Canis lupus familiaris: one gene and its partner. The protein of the gene in region 2 binds, or shares a complex with, the protein of the main gene of each other region. Links are inferred from orthologs where the notes say so. Each region holds a gene or a part of one and is shown on either strand. Other genes may lie near its edges.

Region 1 (3,570 bases), on a different chromosome or scaffold from region 2:
AAACAAATCTATACCATTCTAAGGAAAGACATGATATTCCAACATTTCATAAAAGGAGCAGGTCTTAGAAGTCTGTTCTTAGGTGAAAGTCTGAAATACAAAACTTCTATTCTTTCCAAGAATCTGGTCCAATCTGCAAATTTCCATTCCATTTCCATGTCATTTGCATGTAAAGTGTAATAAAAGGTAAATGGTTTCCTATCCACATCCTTGTTATGAAACACTTAATTTTTCTCTAAGAATGAGGTAAAGCTATACAAAGTAACATGGAAAGGTTCCATAATATTAAGTGAGAAAACCAAGCACAGAACAAAATACATGGTATTTAAGGACTTTTTAAGTCTATGTGTGCATAAGTGTATGTTTATCTGTCTACACATAAAAATAGATCCAGCAGGATAAATTTGCAACAATGGCTATATTTCAGGAGGAGAATGGAAGGAGGGGTCCAGTGCCTATTCAGCATGCATCCCGCCCCCCCAAATCTGCCATTTCTAAGTAAAACCCCTATTGGTCAAGACTCCTATGCCATCCCCAGATTCTTGGTCCAAACCAATTATGACCATCCCATTACCCTGACCAGTCCCTAACCTGGGGCCGTAAGCGGATCCCAACACAGCAGTGACTCACTGGGCTCACTGGGCAGTTAATCAGCTATCTCTAGCTCTCCAGATTTCCTGGTGGTGGGGGGAGTCTATCCTGGGCCAGCTCTTCCTAAATGGAAGGGTCACATTATAGTTCTCAGAGGAATCCCACTAAAACTCTCCGCAGCCAGCCCTGAGGTAAGTGAGCAGTACTCCTTACCTGCATCTCAACATTCTCTTTTTAAATGTTTCTCAAAAAATCACCTCTTCCCAAATACTCTGTATTCCAATGACACTTCTATAATCTCGGAATTGCTGGAGGAGTTCAAGAGGTATGGAACTGGTTTTGGGGCATTTTCTTCAAAAAATGCACATATGGTCTGACTCCTACAACTTTGTTATCTGCTATCTATCATATCAGAGCATCTAAGCCAAAACTTCTAAATTAATATCCTGTCATTACATGCATTACACAAAGAGGAAAATATTAGATGAACGAACATGGTCATTCAGGATATATAGAATACTTCAATCCAAAATGCTAACCCTGTAGGAATTTCAGGCATGGTGATGAGGTCAACGGGGTATTTTGAGAACATGCAACCAAATTATACAGAAATGGTTATCACTGTCATGTCAGAGTCTCAACACAGAATTTTCAAGTTCTGTTCAGAAAGTTGGAAACACAAATACACCAAACAGCACATGACCTATCCTTAAAGAAAACATAGTATGAGAACATTTATTATAGTCTAGATGAATGTGAAATTTGTTGTATTTGTTGTATTGTAAAGGGCCTGTGTGTGTGTTCTAGTAAAATGCTTTCCCCCTCGTTTCTTAGATATTTAAAGAAAATGAGTAAAGCAGAAACCATATATTTTCAAACAAGCATGATGATCTGGAATGGTTTCCATTCCAAACTCTTAAACTATTCATAAAATTCTGGGGAATTCCATGTACTAATCAGGCTGTTAATATGATTTGCAAAGTTCCAAAATAAAGGTTTTAAGGCATCTGCACCATTTACTCTACTAACCTGACTAGCTATCTCTGAAGCTTTTCTGGCATGTTGTATTTCAAGGGTGTTGGTGCCAACCTGCATTCCTTTCCCTTTAATTTTTGACTCCAGGTCTTTCTTGTATTCTTTCTGTAAAAATAAATAAATAAATAAATAAATAAATAAATAAATAAAGCAACATTTTATAATATTTAGACACTCTGCAGACAGACATTCATCTGTAATCAAGGATACCAAAAAATGGCTGCACACATTTAAAAAAAAAAAGAAAGAAAGAAAACACGTTTTACATTGTACCATGAAATGATCACCTAGAACTAAGTTTCTGAACGGCTTAGAACTATATCACTATTCTCACTGAAGAAGGTTATATGAAGCTCTGAAGATTTCTTCTATACATGGTGAGGGAGGTGGGTTTAAATGAGTTGATGCTGTAGAAAGAATGCGGATTTTGAGGCCAGAGCACTCAAACTGGGAATGCTTAACATCTATGGTTTACTCATCTGCAAAATGGGGGTAATATTTCCTCCATGCACGAGCCCTCCAAGGATCAATGAGACTGCATATAACATAGTGCTCAGCACATAGTAGGTGTTCAATAACTGAAAACTTCTTTTGGTCTTTTACTCCTCTATTCATGTGCTAAGGCTGATTCACTGCTGTTCCTGCCGCTGTCATGCCATTCAACTGTTTCTGGATGGACTCTGCGCTTGAGAGTCTGAAGTGATATTTCCAAGTATTACTGACAAGTGATCACAAGATCGACCTCTTAATGTGAACTGCACATGTCACCATAACAGAAGAATCGGTCAGAATTACTAATTTAGGAATATGTGCTGATAATATTAACCAAAGACATGACAGTGGCTTTTAATGCTTTAATAAATTTAAAGAACACAGATACAGCCAAAGATGGCTATAATTTTTTAAAAAACATAATAATTTTGAATCCTTCTTTTAAAAAGATGTTTTATTATTTATTTGAGAGAGATAGCAAGAAAGAGCACAAGTAGGGGGTAGAGGGAAGGAGAAGCAGGAAGACTGAGTCGGGGCTCGAGCGCAGGACCCTGAGATCATGACCTGAGCTGAAAGCAAATGCTTAACCAACTGAGCTACCCAGGTGCCCCTTGAATCTTCTGTACTTACAGTGCAATTAAACTACCAAAGAAGTTAACTGAACAAATGAATGACCATGAGAACCATACTAGATCATCAGCACATTACACTCCTCTGGACCCAGACACAATGATTAGGGCAGGTGTAGATTAGGGCAGGATAGAAGTTGATCCAATGAGATTCATTCCTAGGACCTTAACTGTAACTATAAGAAACAGATGCTCACTTCCCATTGGGATTACTGGCACAGATGAGTTATCCCTCTGTTAGGAGGGGCCATAGCTTAGAGATAGCCTCCCAAGTTTGAAGCAATAGAGAAGATAACAGAACTGAGAGAGGAAGGAAGAGAGACATCATTCAAATTCCAACCTCAAAGAAAATAGACTTTGGACTTTCTCTATTCACAAGCCAAAACATTCCCTTTGTTGCATAACCCAGTGTAAGTTGGGTTCCTATCATTTGCAGCCTGACTAGTAGGGTTACCACCATCACCATTACAACAGTTTATAAGCCTGTGAGGACACAACTTTAAATTTCTCACCTCTCAATTCAGTCAGACTCTCCTCAAAGCTCAGTGCCATTACCTGATTCCAAAGTCATGACAGACGCCAAGGATGAAAGAACTAACAGCACTTCAGAGGCATTTCATTCCTTCCCACAAATTCCACGTAAAGTGAGCAACGGCCACTTCCATTTCATAAAGAGGTTTATGGGGCAGGGGGTCACTGAGCAGCCGAGGAAAGGGTTGGGGGACACTGCTGGGTCGTGAACAGGAGAGCACGTGAACCGCACCACAGTTACTGACGGATCATGACAACACGGTTCCCAATTCTCTGCCTTTCACTTCTTTAA
Region 2 (3,570 bases):
ACCCTTCCTGGAGTTGTTTAAGATAATCCAAAGCTCCAGTCTCTATGCATGTTGTGAAAAACTGAACATTTCCCCTCTCAGAAGCATCGATTTTCGCCCTTTCGGATATCTTATTGTTCGATATGGAAGACAGCAAATTGTGAATGGTACGTTTTACGTCACCCCCTATTACTTCTTCACGCTTAATTGTGTCACCAGTGTTTTCATGAAGAAGACAATAGATAGTCATATTAACATCTCCTCTTTCATCTTCCTGAATTAAGATGCCTTTCTTTACAGACCTGTCCTCAGAGAACAGGTTTTTTATTGCTTGTTGGACATCACCACTCACTATTTCTTCTTTTTCAGCATGAAATTCTGTTGATCGGTTTAATAATTGAGTTTTGGTCAAATTAACGTTGCCCTTCTCTTCTTCACTAACCCAAATCTCCCTTCTTGTGCAGTCTCTTTTTGAAAGTAGGTTCATTATTATATTTCTGAGATCAACCCTGATAATTTCTTCTTTCTGTATCTCAGGAGATGCTTGATTCATTAACTTGTATTTTGCCATTCGAACATCCCCAACTTCACCAGCTTCAATGATGATTCCAGGAGCCTCAATGACTTTTTGAGAGTAGAGTTCTTCTAATGTTTCCTTAATGCTCTTGCCAATAATTTCTACCTTCTCTACTCTACTTTCATTGAATTCGTGAAGGGGTGTGGTTTCAAAGAGCCATGTAGTTGTCTTGACATCAGAAGGAGGGATTTCCTCCTTGATGACTTTTGTGGTGCTTTCGTCGGCTTCCCTAATAGAATCCAAAGTTTGATTTTCAAAAAGCCATACCGCCTGCTTAACATCACCTTTCTGCATATCTTCCTGGGTAACTGTTTTGATGTTTTCATATTCTGACCCTTCTCCTCTCAGCTCATCTATGGTGTGGGTTTCAAATAGCCAAGTGGATGTTTTAACGTTGCCCTTTTGTATTTCACTGACACTTACTGTTCTTACATAAGTATTCTTACCACTGTTTTCAGACTCAAAAAATTGTCTACCTGCCTTTACATCCCCACCTTGAATATAGTCCACAGTGAGCATAGCATCACGTGATTCTTCTGAAATCTGATCCAGTGGCTGGGTTTCAAATCTGTATCTGACAGAACTAACATCTCCCTTCTGAATGTCTTCTTGTGTGACAGATTTAATAACATATACAGTCTCTGACTGATTAATTGAGTCTAGTGGTTTTGTTTCAAAAAGCCACCTCGTTCCTCGTACATCTCCATGAATCACCTCTTCTTTTTTAACTGTTGTCACTTCATGATAATAGCCTTCTCGATCTTGAATTGCATAGAGTGGCTGGGTTTCAAAGAGCATTCTGTAGCTTTTTACATCACCCTTCATTACTTCTTCAGTAATTGTTTTCTTGGTGCTGATACAGTCAGATTCTTCTTTAATCTCATCTAAAGAAAAAGTCTCAAAAATAAAGCACCCCTTTCTTACATCCCCACCTTGTACGTCTGTCACTGTCTTAACTAATTCGTCACCTTCGTGGTTCTCTTTTATCATATCAATTGGTTGGTTTTCAAAAAGCCACCTACAATTTAAAACATTGCCTTTCTGAATATCTTCAGTCTTTAGGGCTTTGATCTTTTTCAAAACTTCCTCTGAACTGGAACTTATGGAATCTAAAGGTTGGTTTTCAAATTTATGCCGCATGCTGGAGACATCTCCAGCTTGGATATCCATTTCCACGGCCTTGATTTCTTTTCCTTCCTCTCCTTGTATGCTGTCCAAATTTTCTGTCTCAAAAAGAAAACATGCCGTACGAACATCCCCACCTTGGATCTCCTCCTGTTTTACAGTTTGCAATTTGGTGGTTGCTTCAGAGTCATCCTTTATGGTATCAAGTGGCTTAGTTTCAAAGAGCCAGGTACAGGCTTTGACATCTCCCTTGTGAATTTCTTCACTGCCAGTCATTAATGAAACTTTTTCATAAAGAGACTCCATTGGTTGGGTTTCAAAAAGCCACCTGCAAGTTTTGACATCCCCTTTAACAATATCTGTCACTTGTTCAGTTTTACTTTCTACTTCTTCCATATTACTAAAATATTTAATCGAATCAAGAGGTTGGGTTTCAAATAGCCATTTAGCAGATTTCACATTTCCGGTCTGTATTTCTTGAGCAGATATTCCTCTGATTATCTGGAATTTATGAATGCTTTCATCAAACTGGTCAATGGGCCTTGTTTCAAAAAGCCACCTACAACTTCTTACATCACCTCTTAGGATTTCTTCTTGCTGCACTGTCTTGACTTGATGATATTTTCCAAGGTGATCTTGAATGGCATAAAGTGGTGTTGTTTCAAAAAGTGATTTGTTTAACTCTACAGCCCCTCTTGTGACTCCTTCCACCTCTATTTTATGTGATGCATCAAACTTAATTAAATTGTTTGATTCAAAGATGTGTGTGAAATTCTTTACATTTCCTCTGTCAACTTCTTCAAGTTTCACTGTTCGTATGTACTCTTTTTTATCTTCTCTAATGTCTTCCAGAGGTTGGGTTTCGAAAATCCATTTTTGGTGTCTAACGTCTCCCTTTTCTTCCTCAGAGGCAGTGATTTTTTGAAGTTTTCCCACATCAGGACTATCTTTTAAAGCCTCTATCGGAAGTGTTTCAAATAGATGCTTAGTAGTTTGTACATCACCCCCTATTATCTCTTCAGATCTTAGAGGCTCTGTATCAGGAACATCTTTTAGAATGTCTAATGGCTGTGTTTCAAACATCCAACACTTTCTGGAGACATCTGTACCTATTATTGTTTCCTTTTCAATGATGACCTCTTCTGACTCTTCTTTGATTTTTTCCAAAGGTTGAGTTTCAAATAACCACTTTGCCCTACTCACCCCACCTTTGACATTTTCTTCCATAGATATTCCTCGGACAACTTTAATTTCTGTGATATCCTTGTTAATTGTGTCCAAGGGCTGTGTTTCAAACATCCAACGTGCTGTTCTCACATCTCCTTTTTCAACGTCTTCTCTGTGAACAGTTTTAATTTCTAGCATTTGACCTAAGCCATCTCTAATAACATATAATGGTTGAGTTTCAAAACATTTTATACTTCTCTTAACATTTCCCTTAATTTCTTTGAGCTCAGACCTGAGTTGTAGTAGGTGAACTTCATCCACTGAATGAAGCTGTCCAAGCTGATCCAGATGTTGAGTTTCAAACATATATCTCACAGTCTTGACATCCCCACCAGTTATGTCCTTTGTGGCAGTTACCATTGATTCTTCTTGATGCATTTTATTCATTGAGTCTAATGGCTTTGTCTCAAACATCCACCGGGCAGTGCGGACATCTCCTCTGGCTAGCTCAGGAATTTTCTCAGCATTTTCTTCAGTGCCAGAAGAATGATCCCCCAGAGTATCTATGGGCTGAGTTTCAAACATCCATGTGGTATATTTCACATCACCACCAGCAATAATTTCTTGACCAGCAATGCCCTTATTGATGTTATCTTCATCTGGAGAGCCATTGTTGATGGAATCTAAAGGCTGATTCTCAAAGATCCATCTCATGGACTGCA

Evidence for each region. Proteins that work in one complex are often made in the same cells at the same time.
Region 1: the proteins of XIRP2 (region 2) and NEBL are in contact, whole or in part, in a crystal structure (PDB 4F14), measured with the Homo sapiens proteins. The link is inferred for Canis lupus familiaris from reciprocal best matches to the Homo sapiens genes XIRP2 and NEBL. Residues at the interface, in NP_689594.4 of Homo sapiens: Pro2420, Pro2421, Pro2422, Thr2423, Leu2424, Pro2425, Lys2426, Pro2427; in NP_006384.1 of Homo sapiens: Tyr963, Asp964, Tyr965, Asp969, Asp971, Glu972, Ile987, Asp988, Asp989, Gly990, Trp991, Met1004, Pro1006, Asn1008, Tyr1009.

Annotation. Positions count from the first base shown.
Region 1 is NC_049223.1:9,996,039-9,999,608, reverse strand, and holds part of NEBL (nebulette), read right to left. Parts: intron 1,732-3,570; coding exon 1,621-1,731; intron 1-1,620. UniProt on the Homo sapiens protein: Binds to actin and plays an important role in the assembly of the Z-disk. May functionally link sarcomeric actin to the desmin intermediate filaments in the heart muscle sarcomeres.
Region 2 is NC_049257.1:12,519,780-12,523,349, reverse strand, and holds part of XIRP2 (xin actin-binding repeat-containing protein 2), read right to left. Parts: coding exon 1-3,570.